Linked DNA regions of Schizosaccharomyces pombe. Changing the gene in region 1 together with any one later gene gives a genetic interaction. Each region holds a gene or a part of one and is shown in the gene's direction. Other genes may lie near its edges. The genes, in order: swd3, mcl1, tma20 and mms19.

What was found.
Region 2: mutations in swd3 (region 1) and mcl1 together harm fitness more than expected from each alone (negative genetic interaction), as found in Schizosaccharomyces pombe (2 studies listed by BioGRID).
Region 3: mutations in swd3 (region 1) and tma20 together harm fitness more than expected from each alone (negative genetic interaction), as found in Schizosaccharomyces pombe (2 studies listed by BioGRID).
Region 4: mutations in swd3 (region 1) and mms19 together harm fitness more than expected from each alone (negative genetic interaction), as found in Schizosaccharomyces pombe (2 studies listed by BioGRID).

What each region holds. Positions count from the first base shown.
Region 1 is NC_003423.3:546,467-550,729, forward strand, and holds swd3 (Set1C complex WD repeat protein Swd3), read left to right. Parts: upstream 1-1,897; 5' UTR 1,898-2,203; coding exon 2,204-3,346; 3' UTR 3,347-3,763; downstream 3,764-4,263. Other genes in the region: translocon alpha subunit Sec61, read right to left, coding at 124-156, 213-325, 379-446, 491-500; SPOM_SPBC354.04 (uncharacterized protein), read left to right, coding at 3,830-4,263. UniProt on the Schizosaccharomyces pombe protein: The Set1 complex specifically methylates 'Lys-4' of histone H3.
Region 2 is NC_003424.3:3,281,022-3,289,211, reverse strand, and holds mcl1 (DNA polymerase alpha accessory factor Mcl1), read left to right. Parts: upstream 1-3,459; 5' UTR 3,460-3,466; coding exon 3,467-3,658; exon of another isoform or gene 3,659-3,703; coding exon 3,704-3,855; exon of another isoform or gene 3,856-3,913; coding exon 3,914-6,017; 3' UTR 6,018-6,208; downstream 6,209-8,190. Other genes in the region: cts2 (chitinase), read left to right, coding at 1-411; DNA-directed RNA polymerase III complex subunit Rpc82, read right to left, coding at 756-2,465, 2,545-2,610; SPOM_SPAPB1E7.01C (uncharacterized protein), read left to right, coding at 6,507-6,998; SPOM_SPAC652.01 (BC10 family protein ), read right to left, coding at 7,409-7,628, 7,698-7,804. UniProt on the Schizosaccharomyces pombe protein: Has a role in regulating DNA replication complexes. Acts as a regulator of post DNA replication initiation. Associates with chromatin during G1 and S phases of mitosis. Required for the transcriptional repression of the outer repeats of the centromeric region.
Region 3 is NC_003423.3:3,768,225-3,774,772, forward strand, and holds tma20 (RNA-binding protein Tma20), read left to right. Parts: upstream 1-5,072; 5' UTR 5,073-5,083; coding exon 5,084-5,094; exon of another isoform or gene 5,095-5,148; coding exon 5,149-5,301; exon of another isoform or gene 5,302-5,356; coding exon 5,357-5,454; exon of another isoform or gene 5,455-5,570; coding exon 5,571-5,775; intron 5,776-5,834; coding exon 5,835-5,892; intron 5,893-5,913; exon of another isoform or gene 5,914-5,967; coding exon 5,968-5,988; 3' UTR 5,989-6,048; downstream 6,049-6,548. Other genes in the region: armadillo-type fold protein, zf-MYND type zinc finger protein, Mub1-Rad6-Ubr2 ubiquitin ligase complex Mub1, read right to left, coding at 1-753; protein Cwf4, read right to left, coding at 2,809-4,833; histone chaperone Hip1, read right to left, coding at 6,133-6,548. UniProt on the Schizosaccharomyces pombe protein: Involved in translation.
Region 4 is NC_003424.3:3,854,411-3,863,505, forward strand, and holds mms19 (TFIIH regulator Mms19 ), read left to right. Parts: upstream 1-3,807; 5' UTR 3,808-4,012; coding exon 4,013-4,481; exon of another isoform or gene 4,482-4,524; coding exon 4,525-4,667; exon of another isoform or gene 4,668-4,713; coding exon 4,714-4,817; exon of another isoform or gene 4,818-4,862; coding exon 4,863-7,154; exon of another isoform or gene 7,155-7,220; coding exon 7,221-7,269; 3' UTR 7,270-7,308; downstream 7,309-9,095. Other genes in the region: protein Rng8, read right to left, coding at 1-335, 390-450; protein Sil1, read right to left, coding at 7,309-8,325; signal peptidase subunit Spc2, read right to left, coding at 8,591-9,094. UniProt on the Schizosaccharomyces pombe protein: Key component of the cytosolic iron-sulfur protein assembly (CIA) machinery that mediates the incorporation of iron-sulfur cluster into apoproteins specifically involved in DNA metabolism and genomic integrity.

The sequences.
Region 1 (4,263 bases):
TATAATGGTTAGTAAATGCATAAACACATTTTTTAAAAAATGAAAAATAAGGAAGTTAAAGAGTAATCTCTTGTCAGTGATGGTTACAATACCTTCACTCATCCATATTTCTTAAAAACATACCCTCGATTGGCAGCTAAAATCATACGTAGCCAGCTGAAAAAGTCATTAGCTTTAGAAAATTAAAATTTAAACAAAAATAATAGTCTTACAGCAAAGGATCCGAAGAGTCTGAAGAGACAATTCCATATAATGGTACTTGAGACATAACCAAAAAAATCAACAAGGTGACTCCAGTCCATAACATTTTTTGCTTGAAAGGGACCTAGATTCGATATTAGCTTTCGATGTCTCTTATGAGATACATATGCTACATACCTTTCGTTCGGGTGCAGCAATCTCCGGTAAGAATGGCGCGAAAGGCTTTACAAGGTCCAGAAATCGTACTGTATAGTGTTAGAAATCAATAAGAAATAAAGCATGGTCTTACAATCACTCATATTGTATAATTTAATTAGATTTCTGCCCAACTAAACTTGCTGGTTCTTGTTGACAGTGAAGTATCATACTGAGGTTTTGGTGGTGAATTAAATTAAGGCAGCAGAACGATGGAGATAACTATTCACTTAAATGCGATAACAAGTAAATATTTCGTTTCATTATATAGTTAATAAATACGCTATAATACCAGTATAAACATTTGTTGAAGCTGTAATGAATGCCTGAATTGCCCATTTAACAAGCGTTAGAGAAGTTTTTTAAGCCGATTAAAATTCAAAATAATAACTGCTGAAATGATTTTACTTCACATAGGGATTAAAAGGAGATGCGATTTCCATTACGACCCAGGCAACAAGGTTGACTAATAAATCAAGATCATTAATTTAATATGGAATAAGAAGGGAACTAAAGGCTATGATGAAAGGCTTAATATGTGTACCGATCTAAGATGCCAACTGTTTCACCAAAAAATGAAAACACAATATTGTTTTACCAATTTGTAATTGGGAGATTGGATCAAATAAATTGATTACCAATTCATGACCTCAACAAGTAATTCTAGTTGTTCATAAGTGTTAGCCTCTTTCTTGCAATTACTATCCACGTGATTTAGATGTTTCTGTGGAACAACAGCTATCTGGATAAAAAAACTTTGGGACAAACGAGAGTGAAACATTTTTAACTTAAATTATTTGCATCACTCTGAAAGTTATGAGTTGACTCATTCGAAGTCAGTTGAGAGATGAATCACAGACACTACTTATTGAGAACTTTAAGCAATGGAAAACTTGATATCGAAGGAGCTATCAAAGTCAATATTAATTGAATGAGGACATTATGCAAAGAACGTATTTTGGTTCATTATAAGGAAACCTCTTTTTAGTATCTTTCAAACAAGCAGGAGCTTCATGAATGCAAGGCCGGAGAGAAATTGGACTAGCCTACTCACAGACTAGAAGATTACAAAACTTCAAAGGATATGTCTCAGTACGAAGATCGTACCCTTAGCGCAAGAGTATTGAACCCTCGTCAAATTAGTGAGCAATATCAGAAAAAAGTTTTTGTATTAATTCCTTGTAAACTTTACGTTTCAGTAAAAGGAGCCTAGTCGTTCTTCTTCATTCCCTAAGCTTTTTCATAACTTCAATGCGTGAATTATTGTACAATTTGTAGTAAACTTCCATTTATTAAGTCTTTGAACTAAATGGCTTAAAAATGACAATATTCCTGAATATCCTTTGCAGAGTAGTTTTCGACGTGAATTGCGAGGAAAATGAACCTGTAAACTTTATTGAAGACGAGTCAAATTATTGAGTTATTTAATATAAGTCCAAAGAAAAGCGTTTTTTAAATAGTCATTATTGTGGTATGTTGCTAGTTGAATGTTATACACTTCGTTGTCCACACCAGTTACTGCTTGTGCATACAATAAAGCTGGATGCTTAAAAAATTGACTGGCATCATTGTAATTTTATAATCTACATATGCAAAAAGCCCATGAACTTTTTTTCTTGTACATAGACTCTAGAAAGAGGAAATAAATTGATCGATTTTACTATCAGACAAAGGCGTTTGTTTATGATTGTTGAGATCATTCAATAAACCTTTTAATACTTCCTGATACGATTTTTGTCTTTAGTCCATTTTTACGAGAAGTACAAACAATCGGTCTGATAATTTTTCACATATCGTATATTAGAAGATGGATTCCACAGCTCAACAATTTCCTTTGAACCACGACCTGCAAGTACAAAAAGACCAGAAAGGTGTTGTAGAGGAAGATGAGGAGCAAATACATAAGCGCATTCGCAATTATGAATCACATTCAGGATTCTCTGAATATTGTACTCTTTTCGGTCATGAGAAAAGTGTTACATGTGTCAGCGTTTCCCCTAACAAACGATGGATCGCTACCTCTTCATCCGATGGAACTATAAAGATTTGGAGCGCACTTACGTTTCGACTTGAATGTACACTTTTCGGCCACTACCGAGGAATATCTCAAGTAAAATGGGCAACTGGTAGTAAGTATCTAGCTAGCGCTTCTGACGATAAGACCATAAGGATTTGGGATTTTGAAAAACGGTGCAGTGTGAGATGTTTAAAAGGTCATACAAATTACGTTTCATCAATTGACTTTAATCCATTGGGCACGCTTTTGGTGTCAGGATCATGGGATGAGACTGTCCGTATATGGAATCTTCAAGATGGAACTTGCCTTAGGATGCTACCTGCACATTCAGAACCTATTATATCTGTTTCTATATCAGCTGACGGAACTTTATGTGCGACTGCTAGTTATGATGGAATGGCACGAATTTGGGATGTTCTCAGTGGCCAGTGTTTAAAAACATTAGTTGAACCCATTAATGTTCCTTTGTCTAATCTCCAGTTTACAGAAAATCGAAAATATCTGCTTGTAAGTAATCTTAACTCACAGATCCGTCTTTGGGATTATCGCCGAAACCGTGTGGTACGAATATTTGATAGCCACGTGAATACAAGATATTCTATGTCTTGGGATTGCTATTCTTCTAAAAATATTCCTAAAAATACTGAAGCTTTACCCAATAATGACTCTTCCTACCCTGATGATGCAGAATCTTTCATGCACGATGCTTATCTTTTAATTCCTAGTGAAGATGGAACAATCCAAATTACAGATCCGAGTACAAAAATAATTATTGACGATTCAATTAGGCATTCCGATGATCCAGAAACATCACTTTTAAATGTAACCAGTTTAGGTCCTTTCATAATCACATCAGGAACTGATCCTTATGTACGAGTTTGGGCTCCTTCTCTTCTATTGTCGAAGCACGAGAAAGATGGCTTTTCACCTTAACCTGAATTGTTGACAAATAATGTATAAAGTTTAAAGAAACTACTTGGAATTACGATGAAGATAATGATGCTAAAGGTTTACGTGCGAAAACAAGCTCCTTACTTCCAATCCAAAGGCTAGTTGGCCTATGAAAACTTAAGTGGATCGATACATAGAAGATAAAATTAATTTATACAGTCTTCGATTATTCTTTACAGAAGATTTCTCGAAGAACGAATGTCGGCCAAGTTGATATCCTGAAATTGATGGTTTTTCTAATTTTTCTCGTTTATTAAACCAGTTATATTCATTTTGTTACTAATTTTCATCATCTAGTTTAATTCGACAGATTTTAAAGGGAGATAAATTTTTTACTTTTTTTTCCTAATATTTATTCCTTTACCACTACTGATATTCTAATAAGGTAAAACTTTTTTCGAATTAAATCATTTGGCCGAGTCAAACTTAAAATAATTGAGAAAAAAACGTATTACCTGATTTTCAATGAGTGAAAACCCAGCACATAAGGATTTGGACAGTTTGCAGGTTGACGAGAAAGCAAAAAGTTGGATTGCTGAAAAAGTTGAAGAGGAGCTCCGAAGGTTAGAGTCAGTAGGTGCTAAAGCGATCCCCTTAGATGTTAAGAATTACAGTGTTATGTTAGATGAAGACACGGATACTGTGGTAAACAGAATTGAGTTGATGACTAGCTTCGACTTTGATCATGTTCAACAAATTCTTCTATCCGCCGTACAGCCCTATCCTTATGATAAAAACTTAATGTTTGTTTATTTGGTGATATTAACGCCTCTTCCACACCCTATGTTAATTCCATATTTGTTTGCACCCAAGGTCGTAGGCAAGAATCTACTACCCCGTGCTGACGGATTGGTAGAGAATACCTTGAAAAGATGGACATTCATTAATGATAAGCTCAA
Region 2 (8,190 bases), on another chromosome or scaffold:
ACATCCTCTGTAGAAGGCACCGCGTCTTCTACAATTGCTGCCGCCGCATCCGCAGCAACATTATCTTCAGATGCAGCATCAGGTTCGTCCACAGTTACTTCTTCCGCTACCGCTTCATCAAGTTCTTCTGCAGCTACAACGGCAGACTCTAGTGTCACAACTGATACCCCAAGCAATGATTTCAATGCAAACGTTGATACAGCTGGACTTTGGTATGTCTCAGCCCTTTCGTCCTATTCAGTCCCTGCAGGATTTGCCTGGACAACTATTGACGGATTTTCGGTTGTTATGCCATCTGCGAACGCCTATAAAAAGCGCAGTCTCCCTATAAAAGCAACTGCCAATCCAGCACTTAATGGAGCTGGAACATGGAAGACAATCCATACTAGTGCAACAACCACTGCCGCTTGAAGGTAAAAAGTCTACATGCGCATTGTTAATAGCTGGTCTATATCATTGCACATATATTTGTTATCTTTGTATTTAATTTATCTCACCTTTCTTTCCGTTTGATGCTCATTCATATGATTTATTTCGTTAAATCAATTACAATATTTAGTCGTTTATTTTTAAGAACTAGCATACTTTATATTTAATGCATTATAGACAATTGAATAAAAATTTTGAAACAAGCAGGTAGAAATAATAAAGCCAACGATCTATTTAAGAAAAGTAAATTTTACATCGATGATTATTTACATAAGTAAAAATGTGTTTAGTTAGGTGAAGCAAAAGAAGTGCCGAAGAAACCATTTTTATAAATTATCCCTAAATACTAATACCATATCATCTAACCGAGAAGCTTGTAAAAGCAGTTTTTCCTCGTAACTATACAACTTTTTTAGCTCAGCTTGCTCAAACTTTTGTAGATATTGTTCCTCGTTGCCTTTAATATCTATTCGTTCTGCCTTCTCAATGAGTTGAGCTCTCTGAGCTCGTGCATCTCGTAATCGCATATATAGTCTGGCAATTACATGATAAAGTTCATCCAAAAGGAGAGAGTACGCCCGATCAGGACGGTGAAACCAAAGAAAAAAAGTCTTGGAAGGGGCCCTGTCGGAACTACGCGGAACCTCTTGTAACTCTAAGGCTCCGATTTCTGCCATAGCTTGAAGAACGGTTCGTAAATCTCTTTGACGAAGGAGAGCAATATTCGCCAACTGCTTTTCCTCAATTTTTCCCTTATCTTTTATGATACGCAGTAAACGAATAGCTCTTTCCCCAAATTTTTGTTCTATAAAATTTTCATATTCTATGGCTCGCAGCATGTCGGTTAAATGGGTAAAATTGACCGCCCATTCACCCATTCCTCGATTGCCTATTTTTGAAATAAATTTTAATGAGCAATCTGCCAAAAGCTCCAGGTGTTGAGCCAGCACCTTGCTCTTGCGATTTGCGTTTTCATCAACACTTTCTTCATAATTATCTTCCTCAGCAAGTTCATCTAGTTCATTCAACTTTTCCATGACACGCAATTCGTTAGAGGCAGAATTTACGCTATACTGTTTATCGACAATCGAACTCTCAACGTCGATATCATTCGGAAAGTTTCTCGTAAGCTCCATTGTCGTGAGTGTAAAGACCGGAGATTGATTGGAAATACTAAATAATCTGGGTTCCAACATAGAAAGAACGTGAGAATAGACAAGCGAAGTTGATTTACCAATTCTTCTTTCCACCCAATGGGTAAGCCTGGCATTTTTTGAGAGGACAGAAAGTTTTCCTGAATTTATGCGAACATGCGCGGATAGATCAGGTACAAGGATGCTATTATCATCGTCTAATATATTATTCAAATCCGTTGATACAGACGGAGCAGAGCCAACAGCACGTTTCCTTCTTTTTGTTGGATGTGGTATTGATTCCTTTGGCTTCCTGGTAAGTCCTTGTAGTTCTGACATATCTGCTGCACGAAGCTCTAACATTTCCAAGGCGACAGAATCATCAACCTCTCTATTTTTTTTTATTTCAGACACGTTTTCTGACTTTCTGCGATCTAAGTGCTTGATCCGGAGTTGCATTTCCTGATCTCCTACTGGTATTAAATGTCTCGGTTGCACTACTAGCAAAAACTTTTGGTAAATCAATTCCGTTAGATTTTTCTGCATCATACGGCTTTCTTCATCACTCCCATCAACCTTTTTATCGAAAGCATTGAATACTTCGAGTACACGTGCACGTCCTTGGGTACTAAGATATTTTACCACAGAGGCAGCCTCCTGGTTTAATTTTTGAGATATCAAATATACATCTTTACCTTTGCGAAGAATGTTATAAATTTCCTTCCATTGGGTCTCATAATATGTGACTTCACGTACATTTTCAATGACCGTAACGTACAAAACCATATGATGCTGCATTAAACTGACAAGTGCTTGTCGAATTTTTGGTCCTGGCAACGAAGTCCGTTTTTGTAGCATGGGAATCGTTAAACGACCATGCCTCAAAAGTGCACTAGCTACTGCCTAAATTGACAATAAATTGGTTAATACAAAAGACTTTGCAACCTCAACTTCAGATTTAGAAATACAATTGAATCCTTACCGAGCAACAATCACCGAAAAATTCCTCTACGAGAATCTCACACAGTTCTACAGCATACTGTGACATGATCAAGCAGATTACCAATCTTGCTTGGAATGGTAAATTGTTTGGCAGACGTAACTACAAAAAAGCAAAGATTTCACAACCTAGAGTATGCCAATAGCCTGTATTTTGTGCGTCGTTAAAGCAGCGTTAACATTTATAGTGTATCACTCTAATACAGAATAAAACTTTAACGATGTGCAAAAACGATTTTCATATTACTTTTTGAAAAAATACATACATATAATTACTGCGAGTATTAAATGAATGATCGAAATCTAATTGTATGATTAATTTATTTAACTTCTTTTTAATTTTCCTGTGAGAGGCTCCACTAGGTTTCTCAATTCCATTTCCATGTCGTTGATTTTTTGTGGTTTAATCAAGCATGACTTATCTGCAGATTCTGTTTTATAGCTTGTCATGGTAAGCATTAATTAAAATACTAAAAGACAATAGCTAATTGCATATTTTTCCTCCATTTAGAATATTGCTGTGCGGCTGTTTGAACATTTATAGCAGACATTTCAAAACTTTTTAACAGAACTGCTCTAATGGAACATCAAATACAACTTCAGAGTAATTAAAAAAAGCTCTGAAATGATTAAAGTTAAATTATTCCTATAGTCTCACATATAAGTTACTTTAGTATTAATTTCTAATTGTTAGCAGATGATTAAAAGCATGGATTGCATATTTTCAATCGTACTTGCATATGAAAATAAATTGTAGACAAACATTTGCAATTTCTCAATAGTGCTTTCGTGGTAGATTTTTTATTTAAATGTTTGTTTACATTAAATAGCGTAACTAGCTAACGAAAGTATCGCTATTGCCATACTAGTCCCAATCTCATATACAAACTCTTCCTCTAGCTATTATGGCAGGGAATAGGCTAGTTCCTAGATATGCCCATACAGATGGACTGACGCGTCTAGCGTATACTCGTGATGGGAAATTTCTTCTTACGGTCGGTTCTAATCAAGTAATCCGAAAATTTCAGGTTGGTTCTGATGAGGAACCCGACTCCATTGATAATCATCAAGATCCTATAACAGGAATTGCAGTTGCTGTAAGTGGTCCTCAAAAAAGTTTGGAGCTAATGACTTTTATATAGGAAAATTATTTTTGTACTTGTTCAGAAGATGCAACTGTCTGCGTATATCCCATCGATTCTCCTACCGAGCATACATTGCTGGCGCGTACTACTCTTCCTATTCGCGATGTGGCATATTCAGTAGATGGAAATTGGATTGCCATAGCTAGTGAGTAAGTTTTTTTTAGTGTATAATGCTCTACTTGGTCGTTTTCAGCCTAACAAATATAGTGAAACAGCAGTGAAAGTGGTTTCGTCCACTGATTCTTCACAAATTTTCTCTCTTCGTCCAGCTAAGGCTTCGAATAAACATGTAACTTATAGCCCGAACGGAAATTTTTTAGCAGTTTCCAGTTGCAATGGAATTTTGTATTTTTATGACACCCAAACTCGTGAACTCATCAAGTTCTTAACAAACACTATTGCCTCTTTAGAGGCAGAATCAGAAATTTGCTCAAAGGCGGCTTGGCATCCTAAAAACGGGACATTTGCAGTTGCGAGTACCGACCATTTTGTATCAGTTATTTCCCCTGATGACTGGCTTCCATTGTACAAACTTCTTCCAAAAGAGAATCATTCTGGTGTAACAGATATCTCCTGGTCCAGTAATGGAATGTACATAGCTGCTTCATTTAAAAAAGGAGGCATTTTAATTTGGGATACACAAAGTCATGAAGTAGTCGTTGAGCTCCCCTATAGTACAGTGGTGGCACTCGCCTGGCAGCCATTTGAAAACGTGTTATCATTTACTACAAATCAGGGAATTTTGTATTCATGTCCGGATGTCATTCCTAAATCAATATTGAAGGAAGAAAATGATCCTACGAAGCCTTTGACTTCGTCAAAAAGTAAAAACCGTACTTCCAAAGAGCTTGATGATCTTTTTGGTTCTGACGATGAGCAAAGTCAGAACGTCAATGATTTGGATGGGAACTCTGCCAACGAGGAAAATGAGTTTATCAATCATGATGGATTGGATTCATCTTTGGACCTAGATGGTGATAGTTATATGGTTGATGAAAACGACTTAAACCTTGCAAAGAAAAGAAAGCAGAAGGCGTTGATCGACAGAACTACAACAATAGAGAATGGTTCTAGTAAAAGACGTTTACTGCAAGCCTCAATACATAAACCCGTTCATACTGGAAGTACACCATGGCAGGGTAATAGAAGATATCTATGTTTGAACTTGGTAGGGTTTATCTGGACTGTACAGCAAGATGCAGAACACAACACTATAACGGTTGAATTTCATGATGAAACTACTCATAGAAAATATCACTTTGTTGATGACCAAAAATTTGAAATGGCATGCTTAGATCATGAAGGTGCTTTGTATGCTTCGCCTGCAACGGAAAGTTCACCTGGTGTTATTTATTATAAAGCACATGTTGATTGGTCGCGTAAATCTGAATGGGCAATGGCTTTACCCATGGAGAATGAAAGTCCTGTGACAATTTCATTAAGCTCAAGCGTTGTACTGGTATGTACGAGTGCTGGATATGTTCGCGTATTCTCAAGACAAGGCTTTCCAATTAGCATTCACAGGAGTAAACACTTGCCATTTGTAGCTTGTTCATCTTTTCAGGATACGATTATAACCATCGCCAACGATGGTTTGAGCTCTGATGGAAATTCTCGTCTTGTTTATTCCATTGAAGACATTTCTCGTGATGAAATGTTGCAAACTGGTGATGGGGTTGCATTACCACCCCAAGGAACGTTAGAGAGTGTTTTCTTTTCGGATGTTGGAGATCCTTACATCTACGATTCAACTGGGGTATTGTTGGTATTAATGCATTGGCGCATACCAGGACAAGCCAAGTGGATCCCTGTTTTAGATACAAATGAATTGGAGCGTCGCAAATCACGGCAAGAGTCTTATTGGCCTGTAACTGTTGCCGATAATCAGTTTCACTGTATATTGCTAAAAGGAGCCTCTCGATATCCCTATTTCCCTCGTCCGATGTTTACAGAATTTGACTTTCGTATTCCTTGTAATACGAACAATCCGGATGCTTCTACATCTGTTCCTGTTTTAGAAGAACTACAACTCCGTAATAAACTATTTTTGACTTTATTGGAAGATAGCATAGGAGATGGCGATGTTACGGAGGACGAAAAAATAAGCATTGCTAGACTAGAAGCTAACATTGACAAAGCCTTGTTGCAACTTATTCAAAAGGCTTGTCTCGAGGAAAGAATCGAACGTGTCTATGAATTGACAAAAACTTTGAGAAGGACAACAAGTATTGCTGCTGCTCAAAAGATTGCGCTCCACCATTCCCTTACAAATGTTGCTGAAAAAATTGGTAATCTACTATCTAACGTCTAAACCCTCACGTCTTAATTTTTATGTAACATTATTTTTTGCATATTAGTAGCTTGAGCTAATCAAAAGGGGTTTGAAGCAAAGCTATGCAGAAGTTTTGTCACGATCTTGCTCCTTTCTAAATTCATTTATATAAGCATCTAGCACTTTGATTTTTTTCTCATTTTTGTATTTAATAAACACATTTCATTTTGTTTACCATATAACCTCTATGTTTATATGTCAGTATATTCGGCATATATTTCGAGTCTATTTAGAAATTGCACAGGGGTACAAAAAATTGATTCATAAGAAAAGGTGGAAACATTTTTTAAAATGACAAAGAGTCACAAAGGAATTTGTATTCTTTTCCTTTCTGAAATGAAATAAAATCTAATGTAGAAACTGCAAAGCTCAGTGCCTTAGGGTGCGTTACAGTTCGTAAAGTTGCAGACACTAAGTGCAGTACAACTTTGTAAAGTGCCAAGCTGCAAACGAAAACACAATTTTAGCATGGAACAAAAAGTGAGTGCGGATGTGTTATTGAATAAATATCAAACATCCATAAGCATCACAAAAAACTTAATCAATTCGTGGTTGGGAAACGAAAATACATCTGTCAGTAGCGATGAAAAAAATGACGATCCACCGTTACAAGCTAGGCCGCCACGGTTAGGGTTGGGTGCTAGTAGAAAAGACCAGTCAGAAAACAGCTGGGTTACTTCCAAAAATGAGAAATTGAAAAGCCTGCCACCGGCATTAAAGAAGAAGATTGAAAGACAGTTGCAGAAGAAGAAGGAAGCTGAAAAAATTGAAGGCGGCAAAAACCACGACAATTTAAAGCGAAAATTGAATAAAGTAGGCGATGAATTGAACGAGCAACAGTCTGATACTGATGATGATGATGATGATTCAAAGGCTCGCATTACTAGCCGATCGAAAAGAGCTAACGCCCAAAGTTCTGGCTTTGATATTTATAAAAAACTTGGGAAGAAAAAAAGGTGAACTTGAAAGAAAAGACATACATAAAATATTTGCATAAAAGGTTTGACTTCTGATTCATTTTGATCAAGAGATTAGCCTCAAGGAAATGGACATCCTATGAACCCATAAATAAGCAGCACTGGAGTATTTATGGCATTGCTATTGGTTGACGTGCATGAAGTTGAATCGAAATTTATTTTTCTGTGAAAAAATTTACGATCCTTAATCACATTTAGTGTTTACATTGGATGGGTCTTAATTTGGGTGCCGTGTTTACCTCTTTTCAATCAGGAGGGTTTTTTTTTTGTTTAGTCGGTATGTTAAGTAAATAAATTTTAGATAGGGACAGTTGGTAATATGAAAAGGCACACCTATTTTTTATGAATCAAGCTCAAGCGATTCAATTTTGTAGTGAAAGACTGACTGCACTATTATAATTTAATAGTGGCATCTAACCAAGGAATGTGAATGCTTTCCTTACCCGCTAGCCACCGAATCCATGAAAGTCGAACCAACCTGTAGCCGGCTTCTTTTAATTCCGTAGGGAATGCTTTTGTGTCGAAAATATTTCGATTGAATGAAAAAAAGGTTGAATCACTCCACAGAGTGCGTGTATTAATCAACAATCCCAGTATAATCATGCAATATGGACTGAAGCCTGTTAGTCAAAATCTCGTATGGAATGGACGGCTTGTTTATCAAACTGGTTGTTGAACTTACCATGGATATTTCCGAGCAATCATGGACAGCATAAAGATCGGATAGAAGAAGTATGGAGCAGCATTAGCTACTAAAAGCATTGGAATAAAATATCGTAAACATAGCATTTTGTACCAAGTTTGGTAAAGCAACAAGTTTTTGAAGGATGTAATTTTACACTATTAACGCCATTTGGTCACGTAACAATCCATTAAGACGATATGCCGTTTTGTGAAACCGAAGCGATAACTCGGAATTCAAAGATTTCGTAAGCGCTAAATATCGTTAATTAGATAAAAGTTGTAGATCCAGCGATCCTTTGGTATTGCAATGTTCAGTATTGTTTACAACTTCAGAAGCATATAAAAACTCTTTCGACTTAGATTACAATTAAGATTTCAAAACTTTTATAAATTACTGCAAGTTGATTGACGCACTGGTTGGGTTGACATTGATTGAGTGAATTGACAAGCTTCACCATCGATATCCGTCACACATACTTGGGTCATATAAA
Region 3 (6,548 bases), 3.2 Mb from region 1:
ATCTTGAAATGAATCATTTGAATAAATGGAGCCGGAGGATCGATCATGACTAGTGGTAGAGCTTGATCCCAATAAATCACGATTCACGGAATGTCGAAACGTAGATTGATTTGGAAGTTGGACATCTCCACTATCCCGTAAATCCACCGAATAAACTCTTCTAGAGCTAGAGCTTGCCGTACTAGCTCCAAATGGAGATGGTACATCACCGTTGACGAACAAAGAGTCAGCAGATGAATTGTGTTGAGACACAGAATCAAGAGAATTGCTAATATTAGAATTAATGGGGAATGGAGCAGATGCGGATGATGGAGGAGGGGTAGTAGAAGGTGTAAGGGAAAATTGAAATCGAGAATGGTGAGAAACAACGGACTCAAGCGCAAACAAAAAATCATCTAAAAGGGTGACAACAATAGGAACGATACCAGCTTCCACAACACGAATTCGAATAGCTTCAGACCCACGTATCCCAACATTTACGACACACTGAAGAGCTAGCTGCCATATTGTCATTCGGGCAAATGTTTGTCCACGTCCGGCACGTAAAATATTCATTAAACGCATCAAACCACCATCCATAGTAAGGATCTCACGAATTTTCGGTGAAGTCGAAGTCAAATAAACGAGATGGCTTAATGAATTCATTAATGACATTTCGGAGTCACAGTCAAGCGCACGTCGATCATAAAGGACTGTATTGATAGTGACAGAAGCTTTGTTATTCCATACGATGCTAACGTTCGATTCCCTCATCTTTCTTTAATAATATATTTAACACGTATAAAGTTTTTTAAAGACAATTGCTGCAGTATAAATTACTGGCAAACGCAAAGATTGGCGTAAAACGAACGATGTGATAATATTTTTTTTAGTTAAAGACAAGCAGTTTTCGAATACCAAAATTTTACTCAATAATTTTCAAAACTGCTGTGTGTAAACGCAATAACCGAAGAGAAAAACCAAGAACAAACGCCGATAGCAGGAAGAATAAGTAGTGCCCCAAAATCACGAAAACGAAAAAAAATAAAAATTACTGTTTTCGCAGATTTTAAGTCCCGCCGAATTTGAAATCCTTTTAAGCAATCTACACCAATTATTCTTCAAAACGAGTAAACGTAAAAGGGACTACGGTTAGCTCAAGCTTGAAGTCAAGAACTGATAAAGGAGCAAAAAAAATACTAAAAGAAAAAGGAAGTAAGGAGCAAGGGCACTTTTTTAGCCGAGAAGCGACACAGATCAAGTAAGTTCAACAATAGGAAGTATAACAACGAAAAAGTTGTAACCCGGGGTCTGCTAAAATCACGAGGCTAAAGAAAGAGAGAAGTGGCAAACAAAAAAAACCCGAGATTAACGAAGATACAAAGAGAGAATGAATAAGAATAGTTTGATGAAAACCACAATAACCTTGAAAATAAAAATAAAGGATATGCTCAGTACCTTTTTAGACAAGATTAGTGGAAAATCAAATCACAGCTGACAAGAGTAAGAGAAGAGAGAATAGCACAAGATGATTTGCATCAATTAAAAAAGTAAAGTTCGAAGAAAAATGTTAGGATTTGGAAAAGGAAAACGGTGGTGAAGCTAAATCAGCCTTGTTGATAAACAAAGAATAAGTGTTTTCTTATAATCGCAAGGATTTAGCTTAAAAACCACAGTAAATAGTTTTTGCAAGTCCCTTAATTTTAATTGAATGAATTCTTTTTACGAAAATTTCCCGGATCCTCGTTCTCTTATTCAGATTCTTGGAAGTGGCAGTTGACAGAAGGCAACTTCATTTCACCCGAGTGTCAACCGAGTTTGAAAACGATCGTCAGTGAACGTACCTTTAAGGCACCATAACGCAAAGTATGCTGGGTTGTTACTGGCTATAATGGTTGGGAACTCTCGGCGATCTTTGATGCTGGATGTTACCTTTGAAGAGATCGACATCTCGGCAACAATAACTCAAAAAACTTGCTGCAACTTTAACTAGCAACAGTTGGTATTTCTTTCACTATAGTCAGTCATTTTTTATTCATACGAACATCTTTGTGTCTTTAAGTTTTTAGCAGAATCTGTGTATGAATTTTTTCTTTTAAGTCAAAATGTTGCCTAATACGTTGGTCGCATAAGCCGATTTTTGTATTCTGTAAATTCACTTTAGCAGAACATTTGGGTAAACCGGTCCGAATAAGCTGTCAGTGCTGAAAATAACCAATGTCAGATTTTGTAATCTCATTTGATTGACAAGTTCATCAGATCAGCACAACTCCAAACCAGCCGCTTCTTTACCTGTGAGTCCTGCCACTTTGAGTAACAAAACTAAAATTAGTCGCACTGGTAGATACTCGATCGTATGTCAATGGGGCAAGGTAAAGAACAATCAATTTATAAATATAAATATGTACATATTAAATATATTTTGGATTGGATTTTTCATTTTATTGTATTTTAATGTGTTATTTACGAATTGCGTTGGATTCTTCAAAATTGTCATGTTTACAACTTTCTCATTTCTACAAGTGTGATTCCCTCAACATAATATCCATAAATTTTTCGCTTATCTTGCTTAGTAAGTAAACTCAGATCGAAACTCAAGGTTAATAATACTAATATGGATTGCTTGTCTTATTTCTACGCGCCATTCCGGCCTTTCAAATGCAAAAACAGTTATTTTATTATTATCCGAACAGTCCAAAGCGCTGAATATCCTCAACTTCGTAACAACGTCCATTTACATGACCCATTGCCTCGTAAACAATTAATTACTAATATTTTACACGATTACTAAATATTAAACTGATAGCGCCAATAAATGTCATATGTAATCTAGGCCTCCAGCTTCTTTTTAGCCATTTCCTCTTTCCATTTTCGCGAAAGTTCGAGCATTTTGCGCATCTTATCTCCTTGATCAGTCGCCGTATCCGGAAACAGATAGTCCAAATATTCTTCGAATGAACCGTCTTCAAGTCTACGGCGTTTCTTAACAACCTGTGGCATTAGTGAAGAGACATGCTTACGTGTATCTTCCGTGCCATGCATTGCCTCAAATTGTTTCCATGCTTCAAGTAATACAACTCGCTCTTCCTTCAAACCCTGCTGGCGTAAATGGGCCAATGCATTTTCAAAAACATTTCGCGCACGCACAACAGCGGTTGGAGAAGCCACTTCTTCATTCGGTGGTTCTTCGTCATCGTCCTCCAGATGGGCAATTTCAAAGTTTGCAAAACTAATCCAAACTTTAACATGAGGTGCAGTCCGTAGTAACTGCTGGTAAATACTTCTAGCTTTTCCGTATTCCATTTCCTCGAATTCAAAATCAATATAAGCCTTCCACACAAGCTCTGGGGTTTCCAAAATAGGCTGGTTTACAGCCAAATTATATAAAGCGCGAGCACGATCACTATCTCCAAGCTTAGTCTCTAAGGCAGCGTAACCAAGCCAGGGAGCACAAGCCTCGGGATCATAAAGAATCCATTTTTCATAAAGAATTCGACACCTGTCAAACTGCTTAATTGCGTCTTCGAATTCAATATAACCTCGGAATAATTTTGGTTTTGGACACATTCCCAACGCACGACCCAACGTTTTTCTAGCAACATCAATCTTACGTTGCCTAAGCTCAAACATTGCATACATGAGCCATAATTTGGCAAATGTAAATTTTTTATGGGGTATAAGCTTGAGAGCTTCTTGGTAAACCTTTCTTGCGCGGTCAACGTCCTTCACATCTATCTCTTCAAATAAGCAATAGTTTAACCAAATATAAACGTAACGTCTCCATGCGTTCTTTTCAACTACTTCAGGAACCTTAGCAATAGCTTTTTCGTAGGTTTCGCGAATAGTATTAATATCCCCTGCACTTTCTTCGAGCTTCAGCAAATCAAGCCAAGTGTCATAGTCATAAGGAGAATCCTTCAATAGCTTTTCGTATTGTAATCGACGCTTATCGAGCACAGTAGACTCAACGCCCAAATGATCTCCAAATTGTTTTTCAAAATGAGTGTATTCCTTATATAGTTCCATAGATTTTGATCGGGGCATAAAATCAATTGCATATTTGAAAATGGTGCGAGCTCGTTCATATTCCTTTTGACGAATTTCGAATTTTGCAAAAGCAATAAAAAACCGTTCATTCAGAAACTCCTGACCAAGAGCATCTATAGCAGCCAAATAGACTTGGCGAACGTTTGCAGCATTTCCGCATTCTTCTTCAAAACGAGCCCAACGAAGCCAATTCGTTACTTCAGGATGCACAACGACAAATCGTTCATATATGCCACGAGCCCGTTCGTTTTCATGGTACCTCCTCTCCATTCGAATATAACTCATCCAACAGTTTTCATCAGGCTCCCACTTAAGCCATCTTTCAAATACTTGTCTACAACCGGTGATATTTCCTAACATTTCCTCCATATATACGTATTTGTACCATAGTTTATCAACACGGGGAAGCTGTGTAACAGCACGATCAAATAAATTTCTGGCATGGTTGATATTTCGATTCTTCATTTCGCATTCAATATATTTCAGCCATAACGGTATATAAGTAGAATCTACATCCAAAGCTCTTTCAAAAACAGAGCGAGCTCTCGCAAATTCTTTTTGGTCTAATTCCCACTGACCATATCGCATCCAATGGCCCATAGCGAGACGATTCCGTCGAATGGCATCTTCAAATTCTTTACGTTTTCGACCTTGAAATTCTTGAAGCTCCTCAAGATCAGTGATATTAATTTTTGGAGGAACAAACGCCACATCTTGTCGTTCTACAGCTTCTCGGAGCAATTGTTCAGCTGAGATTTGGATGGGTGCTGGGTTCTTATTTTTTACCCTGGGCGCTTCCGAAGTCATCTTATATTATTCTGGATCTCTATAGTGTACAATTACTCAATAAATAATATGCTAGATTTATGTCTTCTCTTAACCAGTTGGCTTTTACTGTTAGAAGACAAAAACGTGCACAAATATGAATGAATATATCTAACGTTTGTAACCCTCGAGGTGGTAATCGGCAACACCGCGGATCATCCGAGAGGAGACCGCGGCTACAACCTAGTAACTTATTGTAGCAATGGTCTGCAGCTCCTATATACTCAATAATATGTTCAAACGGTATTGCTCTAAATTGGATTTATAATTTTGTAGGATGATTGCTAACCTCAACAGATTTAACTCTAGAGAAGATATAAAGGGAACTACTCCAATCAAGTCTTCTATTCAAAGAGGAATAAAAGCAAAACTAGTACAAGCTTATCCTAACTTAAAACAAGTTATCGATGAGTTAATTCCCAAAAAATCACAACTAACTCAAATAAAATGGTTCGTTCTTATCAGCATCCGTGATTTTTAGTATGTCGTACTGATATTGTTTAAGTGAGGATCGTTTATTTTTGTATACTTTGAATGGCGAAATTATCCTTTTCCAGCACTTCGACGGCCCTATCATTCCTTCTCTTCGTCTTGTTCATAAATGTGAGTATAAGCTAACGTAACCGCAACGTTTGATTGGAGTTCTGGTTTTTGTCTAGCTGGTCAGAATCGACAACAACATATCTGTGTTTAGTTCAAATATATACTAATACGCCTAGGTCCGGATGCCTTTACTCAAGTTCGAGTAGACAGAGGAGCTATCAAATTCCTTCTCTCGGGTGCCAATATTATGATTCCTGGCTTGGTTTCCAAAGGCGGCAATTTGCCTGATGACATCGAAAAAGATCAATATGTGATTGTTACAGCTGAGGGAAAGGAAGCCCCTGCTGCAATTGGGCTTACAAAAATGTCTGCTAAAGAAATGTAATATACTATTGACACTCATAACTTGAACTATTAACTAACATGCTTGAATTGTTTAGGAAAGAGACTAATAAAGGAATCGGCATAGAAAATGTGCATTATCTTGGCGACAACTTGGTATGTGATTTACATTTTAAACCATTTATAATTTCCTCTTGCTTATTGGAATGTAATGTTAACTAATATTCACAGTGGAAGACTATTTTAGAATAACATCTATAGTATAAGACATTAAAAGAATAAAATTAATGCATTATTTTGCTTTCAAAACTATTCAGATTTTTCCAATGAGTATTGTATTAGACTTAAACAGAATGCAAGAAAGAAAAGTCAAATTTAAAATAGCCTCAATTTTTTTCAGGTTGATGCGTATTTTTCTATTAATTTGTTTGCACGATCAAATTCATTATCAGTTTGTACTGCTTGTCGTAAAACCACTAACATTTTTGCAACAACTTCTCTTCCTGATAATTTAATTGAACATTTTGTTTGAGTTCGTAGCTCTCCTAAAAATTCCTCCAATTTTTGCCAAAGACCATGATGCATTAATAGTCTGACATAAACTTCGCTTGTTACTAAAAACTCATCATCCAACTTAAGTAATCGAGCAGAAGCGATTTTGTTTTCTAAATGATTAATAGTAACTATGGTCTCAAAATCATCATAACCTTCTTCAGTGATTGCATCAGCTACCATTTTTTGTAATAGTTTTCCTCTTCCAGAATCCATTAAAACATTATTAGTTCGGTGTTCATATATTTTGAGCGGCTGAC
Region 4 (9,095 bases), on another chromosome or scaffold:
CCGCTGTTTCCGATTTACCATACTGGAAACAGACGCCTTTTGCATTTTAAGAGAATCATAAACATTTAGCAAGTTATTCTTCGCTGACTCCAGCTCCTTCCTTTTCTTTCGCTCTTGCATAAGTAAAATAGAAACCTTGTCTCCTTCTTTCTTTAGTCTGTCGATTTCGTTTTGCATAGTAGCAATCAATTGACCAGAAGACGGTTTTCTAGATCCTGTTTTTGCATGGTCATGAGGTACTCCTCTACCAATATACGTTGCCTCAATATGATCTGTCAATTTTTCTAAATCATTTGCCATATCTTGGAGCGTCGAAACTTCTTCCTTTCTATTTTCTGGGATCGCTATATTAGCGTTTGCTTGAACTATTATTTACTTATTTCTCTTACCAATATTATCATGAACTTGCTCGATTTCATGTTCTAATTTTTCGGATCCCTCTAAACCCATTTTTTACATTAAATAAAAGAAAGAGAAATAAATATGAATTAGACTTGCTTCATTGCAAAGGATAAGTTGCATCCTTATTTTTCATTCATTGTCCTAAAGCATTCATTTATTGCACGGTAAGTCTCAGTTGGACTCGATAAACGGTTTAAGAGGGTGTATCAATCATTTAGATGAATGCCAAGATTTGAAGAAAATAGTATAATTATGGAATTATGGAACAAATGATTATTATTCTACATTATGTGTATAGACACAAAAATTTACTTTTAACAAGTCTTTCTCTTTAGTTTACATCCCACTCTTAGAAGACCATGGTTTATTTTAATAATAAAATATGCCATTCTATCATCGATGAAAATTGAGATTTGTATAATAAATAGTTAAATTTTAGTGCGCCAAAAATTAAGGGCTCATTTATGCTTTATACAGACTTAGTTTTTATAAACGTTTGCTATAAGTAACAGCATTACATAAATAGCAGAGGGCTAAATGCTGGCTAGATAAATATGAATGTAAAGTATGTTAAGAAATATTGAAAGATTACTCTCATTTCCAATGCAGGATTAAATGAAGTATATGAACAGATTTTGCATATATACCAAAAAACTCCAATAAACAGAGTGGTGATTAGCCACAGATACATTTTTTCTGTCTAGGTATGAACAGAACTTTATTTTATCAAAAGATGGTGCATTAAACATTTAGCTTTTATTTCTCCTTGGCTTTCCAATGAAATCCCACTGCGACCCAGGAAAAACAAGCTTTCTAGGAAGTGTTATCTGTAGCGGAAGGCTCTTTCGTTTCCTCTGATTTCACAGACTCCAAAAACGACGGTCGCCAACGATTCAAAAGCTTTGCGGCGGAAGCTTTAACATCTACATTCTCTTTCCACATCGTCTCAAGAATATCAAGGCATTTTTCACGTACAGGTTAGTCGAAACATTATTAAATACTGAAAAGTCATGAAACCGAGCTTCGTCTTATCGGGATCAAGACATACAAATTTAATTTTGTCAACTATAGCATCGGTGAGTTCTGGCAATTCAGACATAAATATCATAAAAACTTTATCTTTTGCCTCTAAGTATGGTAAAATGCTGTCTATTACTTTAAGGGCCCATTTTTCATATTGTGGACCTTCCCACTTAACATCCTCATATTCATGACAATCCGGATTTTCAAGCATTAGTCGATCATTATACCATTCCTCGGATAACCAGTTCAATATTAAATTTGTACTGGAACGCCAGTTAGATGCAACGTAAGTAAAAAGCTGCCCTCGAACAAATGAAGACAAAGTGAAAGAAGCATCTCCAGATTCCTCACCAGACGTTACAGGCTGATAATTCAATAAGCCTCGCGTACAAAGTCGTGGTAAGAGAATTGCCCAGTGACGCTTATCCCATACCGTATTATCCACATTTTCCAACGTTAAATTTTGAAGGTTAGAAGAAGAAACTATGCTTCTTTCAAATTGAGGAGCATAATCAAATAATCTGGATAAGGCACCGTGAAAGTATTCTAGAATAGCCATCGGGGACAGCGAATCTGGAGTGGGTAATTCAAACGCATCAGTAACGACATTGGAGGGAGCACTTCCCTCTAGTCGAGCTGCTTCACGTTCTACACTAGCATTGATAGTCTGAACATCTACCTCAGGCGGTTCATAATCCTCGTCCTCGTCTTCATCAACTTGTTGATCAAGACCAAGGGATTCAGGCTCAGAGAGAGAGCGCACTCTCTCTCTCAACATATTAATTTGCTGATGAAAGTAGTTTTTGTCTATCTTAAGAAGAGAAGTAAGTACAATTTCAGTAGCCACTTCAACCGGAATTGAAGTTACATCAAAATTTGCAAGAGGATTTATAGCAGTTTGTGAAGCAAATATGCTGATTAAGGGATTATTTTGCAAACCATCGTGAGAGCTAAGTTGGGGTTGCATTCTTTCTACAAGACTTTGTACAGCAGAAGACTTAACACGCTTAGAGGCAGCACTAATATTTCCCTCATATTGCCGTTTCTTCAAACTTTCATCGACTTTGGTATGATAAATTTGTCCGGAAAGATAAGCGTGAATTTTTTCGACGGAAGAAGAAGATGCACCTGTACTCTTAGCTAAATGAAGTAAAATAAGTTTTAGATTTTTTTCAATACACCGTATAGCTAACTTGCTTTCGTTCGACAGCTCAATTTCATCTTTTGGATTCGGAAGATGAAATTCTAACAAGCTTCCTATGATTTTTGGTGCTAGTTCCTTCCGTCGCTTCACCAAAACCGGTAAGATATTCAAAACGCTAGTAATGTAAAGGACATTCAAAGAATCCGAGAAAAGGATGGAAAATATTTTTTCAATTAAGTCATTTGCTTCTATTCTGAGGATATTTGAATTGATAAAAGGATGATGTGTGGGAACCTTAGAAAGAGACACGTCCGATTTAGTTACAAGACGGGGATCTCGAATCCCAGGCACTTGCGTTAAAATTACACAAGAAATAAATTTAATACAAGAAATTAAAAGAGGCTTGTTCCCTTTGTCAAAGTCATTAATGATTTCGTTTTTTAGCTTCGTTAAAGTGTCCCAGGTAGATGAATCGTTAGGTGAAGTACAACAGTGCAGAAATACTAGTGGGTAGATTGTGCAAGAACAAGATATAACGTCTTTTTTAACTTCTTCATTATCTACTGCGTACAGAGAAACAATTGTATCTAGACAAGTTACAGCTAAATCCAATTTCTGCTCAAATTTAACATTTTTGCTCGAAAATCCAAACCAGAGGAAATTTGCCATCCATTTTTTATACCTTATATCAGAATAGTTTGCCACAGAAAGAATGTTTCTCACGATTTCTGGAAAAAGGCTTTGATCAGTTTTAACAATATCTCGAGCCTGGTTTAAACGAGTAAGATGTTCGTCTGTCTCCGAAACTTCCATACCAGGACTAACAGAGAATTTAAGATGATAATTATATTAAATACTTATATGCTTATTGATCAATTTCTCAAGTAAATGTTAAAACTTTGCATCCTCTTTTTACTTTGCTGTCGGTTCAAATTTTGGTAAGAGAGGGAATACATAGCGCAGTGGTTTAAGGATCGTTAATATGTAGTGACTATATATAACGATGGAATAAAGGTTTTTGTGTATGATTGTAAAATCTTGAAGTAGAGATTTGCTAAAAAGAAACAAATTTTTAAAAAAAGAAAATAATATCCGATCTTTCTTCTAATTTCTTTAATTCATGGATTTAAGCAATTTAATTTACACAAATTCTTATCAGATTATCTAAATACTTTAATTAGTTTAACTTCGCTTCGGTAAAGAAAGCATACATAGCAAATGACATTTTGCAATTTGCCATTGTTAACCACATTTTCTGAGAGACGTTTCAACGATCTACTGAGGAAGAGTGCCGTCTACCTACTAGCTAGAAGAAAGTCAGCTTCGAAAAAGAGGACAAGGTTTCTAATCTCTGCTTCTCAATTTTTGAAATTCTGTTTTTTCTTATAGTGTTTATTGTATAGAAAATTGTTAGCATAATAGTACATATTAAATTTGAGGAAGATGAGCTCGAATTTAGTGGCTTTATATTTATTTTCTATTGATAGAAGTCAGGATGAGGCAAACGACGTTGTAGATCGAATTGTCGAAGAAATTGTCACTGACAGAATGGGGATTGTCGATTTGGTTACTTCAATTGGAGAGTATTTAACTGACAACAATATCTCTGTTAGAGCAAAAGCAGTTTTATTACTGTCACAAACTTTAGGTGAGCTTCCTAAAGATAGACTTCCTGCGAAACATGTATCTGTACTTCTTCAGTTTTACTTGAGTCGTTTGGATGATGAAGTTACAATGAAGGAGAATGCGTTAGGTATTGGAGCTCTTCTAAACATGCAAAACTTCCCTGCTCAAAAGATTGTGGATGTTTGTAAGGCTCTCTTCAGTTCCACTGACATGCCAAAATATGCTCAAGCAACTCGTTTAAACATTTTAAAAGTATTTGAAACCATTATAGATAATTATCTTTTCTGTAAGGATCTTTTTGGAGAGTCATCAATTAACTTAGTTCTCAGTCATCTCTTCACAAACTCGCGATGCTTTCTTCTCTGGAATTTGTTCAACTTTTGCTGGTGAGAAAGACCCTCGTAATCTTATGCTGGTCTTTTCTATGCTTAAAAAAATACTTTCTACATTCCCCATTGACGGATTTGAACAGGTATGGATCTCATTGTTAATCGCCTAATGAAATTACTTACATGTAGCAATTCTTTGATATCACTTATTGTTATTTCCCGATCACTTTCCGTGCTCCGCCTGATGCCACCAATTTGGCTATTACTAGCGACGATCTTAAAATAGCTCTCCGGTAAGGCATCATGACATGTGAACTATTGCTAACCGTCCTTTGTAGAGAAACCTTGGTTGCTAACGACGCGTTTTCAAAATTACTTCTTCCTGCTTTATTTGAAAGGCTGAAGGCTTCAACTGTTCGCATAAAAATCGATGCATTAAACATTTATATAGAAGCTTGCAAAACTTGGCGCGTGGGTGCTTATTTATGGTCTGCTAAAGACTTTTGGGAATCTATTAAGCAAGAAATACTAAATTCGACAGATGCTGAACTTCAAAATTTGGCGCTTGGTGCACTCAATACTTTAGCTAGTAAATTTTATAAAGAGGAAGGGTTTTCATCTTCGTTCACAGAGTTTGTGGATATGATTTTGATCCAATTATCACAGCGTTTACTCGAAGATGTTAATGTTAAATCTTGCGGATCTTGTGCAGCTGTATTTGCTTCCTTGGCTTCTATCTCTGTGGAAACATTCAATTATTGTTCATGCAATTTTTTACCCAGTGTTCTCGATCTACCAATGGTAAATGAACCATTGGAGAAACAAAAAGGGATGCTAGTTTTTTTGGAATACGTCTATAAATGTTTGGTACTTTTATACGGAAAGTGGAGAAGCAAAAACCAGGCTGATATTGACAACCCGCTACTTGTTTACAAAGACAAGCAACTTAGTTTTGTATCAGGCTCCTTGATGGGAACAGCCAAAGATGAAACTGAAATACGCATGTTGGCTTTAAAGGTTATTTTTTTAATGGCTTCGATCAAGAACTTCCTAACAGAGAGTGAATTAACCATGGTACTTCAATTTTTGGATGACATAGCATTTGACTTTTCCGATCCTATTAAGAAAAAGGCAACAGAATGTTTGAAGGATTTAGGGTTACTAAAGCCCGACTTTTTACTTTTGACTTCATTTCCTTTCGCATTTTCAAAATTAACTGATGATGTTACTGCTAAGTCATCTTCTGAAGAAACTTTTAAGCAATATTTATCGGTACTAGTCTCAATATCTGAAGAAAGGAGTTTGTTTAAGGCCCTTGTCATCAGACTTGTTGAGATGTTGAAAGATCAATTTAAATCCAAGGAAATGAGTGTTGATCTTGTCGAATCAATTGTTCAAAGTTTATCCGTTGCCTTTAAGGAAAGAAATGATCGAAATGAACAAGAGATTCCATTCTTTTTTGAAGAACTACTGAAGCAACTTTTTACCCTTTGTTTCGCTAATTGCGAGTCAATGAATGTGAGATGCCTTATTTATGTATCACAGACAATAAATGAGATAGTGAGAGTAAACCATTTTGAATTTCAAGAAAAGTTTGTTGGTCAATTATGGAAATTATATATGGAGAATTCCAATTCCGACTTAATTGAAACTGAAGGTTGTGAAAAAGCTGCAGAAAGATTTACGCTTGCAGCATCTTTAAGTGATCAGAAATTTTTAAATTTAGTGGTATTATTACAGGGTGGTCTTAATGGATTGAGTAAAAAATTACATTTTATCGAAAAGTTGAATATTGAGTTGTTGAATTTACTCATAAATGTTGTTTTTGTTACGGAAAGTCCTGGCGTTAAAATTAGCGCTTTACGTCTCATATCCTCGCTTATTAACAAATGTGAAAAAGACGAAGATATATCAAGTTTTATATCTTCGAAGGGAGTCACGTCTTTGTGGGATAAAGTTTATACTGGAACTCCAAAGGAATCTGAAGCTGCACTCGATGTGCTGGCGTGGGTTGACAAAGCTTTGGTCTCTAGAAAGCATAGCGAGGGCATTCCTTTGGCTTTTAAATTATTGGATACTTTGAATTTACAAAATGTCGGAGATTCTTCGGTCAAGGCACTTTCAATAATTATCAAAGACGATCCTGCGTTGTCCAAGGAGAATTCATATGTCGAAAAGCTGTTATACAAACAACGTTTTTACGCTAGTGTTAGTCCTAAGATTTTAGAACACATTTCAACTGCTACTGGAGGAGAAAAGTCTTTGTATTTAATGCTTCTTTCTAATGTGATAGGAAATGTGCCAAAAGAAATTGTAATTCCAGATATGCCATCTATCCTTCCACTTCTACTTCAATGTCTTTCACTGTCTGATATTAGTGTTAAACTTTCGACGTTGAACGTTATACATACTTCGGTTAAAGAATTGACTTCATTATTGACGGAATATCTTGATACTTTAATTCCTTCGCTTTTGGCAATCCCTAAGGATATGAATAATCCAACTGTTGTTCGTCTTTTAGCCCTTAAGTGTCTTGGAAGTCTGCCAGAGTTTACTCCTACCACGAATTTACAACTATTTAGAGATAAAGTAATTCGTGGACTCATACCATGCTTGGATGATCCTAAAAGGTAAGAACCATTCATTTTTAGTGAAAAGAATAACTGTTAACTACAAAATGCTAATGAATAATATAGGGTTGTAAGGACTGAAGCAAGTCGAACTCGTCATAAGTGGTATATATAAAGAGAGATTTTGATAAGTCATTTTTGAAAAATAAAAACGTTAAATATTGTATTTTTTAGGCCAAGGAAGAGATAAAGCTTCTTTTATAATTAAATTAAATTCAGTAGCAAGATCTGGATCTTGATAAATTAATTTATTTTTGTACGCCAAATTTTTATCGTTTAACCATTCATAAAAGTTAACTTCGGGACAACTCTCACTAACACTTTGAATTGTTGATACGGTGTTAAGTAGAACCTCGAGCGTTGAAATTGAGCGTAAATGCCAATTATTCATCAAGTACTTTTGAAAGATGCTACACCAAGTCGAAAATACCCACTCTATTGGGATAACTTTAGAAGCTTTGCTAAAATTGACATTTTCCAACGAACGAGCAATATTTTCAAAGATGATGGACAACCTACTTAGCAGTTTCTCCTGAAAAGCAGAAGGAATATCAATATGGCTGTTTCTCGACCAAAAATCATACAACTGAAGAAGAATAGCCGATCCTAAATCTTTACTAATGAAAGCCTCAGATAAAGGAAAAGATTGGACAGATTTACTTAATAGGAAAAGTTTCTTCAGTAATGTAACTGGGTGGTTTTCCTGCCGTAAAGTGTTCACAATTTTTGGCATAATATTCATTTCTAAAGCCTTTTTCTGAGCTATGAAATTATTGCTAAGCGCTGATGCCAAAACAACAGACGACATTGAACGAATCGTATTTGGATAGTCTTTCCCATCCATCAAAACAAAAAGTTGATCGCACAGAGGCTGTTCAAGTACATCCTGACCAAATTTTATATCATGAGCCAAATCACGCATTGTTTCTAAAGACGACAACACAATGCTTGGGTCTGAAGTATCAGGATTTAAAATTACAGAAGATGACTGATCGAACAACTGTCTATCGTAAAGTGAAACAGATGAATCTGAGCTTACAGTCCTCACATTCAAAAAAAGGTAACATATTGCAAGAAATAGATTCGACAAAGAGAATGTTAAAGTAAAAAAAATTCTGTAAATTTGAGTATTTCTTTTCTTTTTAGACGAGTTTCCCAGAATCGAAAACATTGAACCGATTAATCTCCAATTTTTTCACTCCTGTTAGAGAGTGGTTTATGGTAGGATAGATTTCAAGAAAAAAAAATCCATAGCATGATTAGGCAATTGCCGCTGGTAAATGGAAAACGTAGCAATAAAATTCATGTTAAAAAATAAGAATACGATACGGACGTTGTGGCAGGCATGGAAGCCTTCTAACGAAAATGTAGTAATTGAGTATTTCGCTTTTTGGCAACAACTCAAATTGAGAATTGATTAAAAAAATTGAGCTCAATCAGTTTTCAATTTGAGACAAGTACTTTGAAATTTCCGCCTCAAAAGTTGCACTTGATATTTGGCCATCTTCTTCAAAAATGTGAGCAACAGGAACCGACCATTCAAGTTGAACAGCATTTCTGTTTTTGAGTACGGTAAATTTAGTAGTGATTAGAGGCTTATTTTTCAAAGGTAAAAAGGTATCCGCAGAAATTTTGATGTGTCTTTCTTTTTTCGTAGCAACATAAACAGTACTACCCTTGACTACAGAAGACCAAAATGTGAGCAAGCAGGAAGCTAGGAAATATAAAGGTAAAAGATACTTTAAGTAAGATTTTAAAACACCAAAACCATAAACATACTCAATGCCAAATGCGAGGCCGGCGGGTATAATGCAAGCTATTGCGATCAGCAAACGAATATCTTCAAATACAAAGGATTGCTTATAACCATTTTTGTTAAAATGGTTTGTTAATTCTTTATCAAATTTAGATTTGAAATCTGAAACGTTATATTTTGGCATT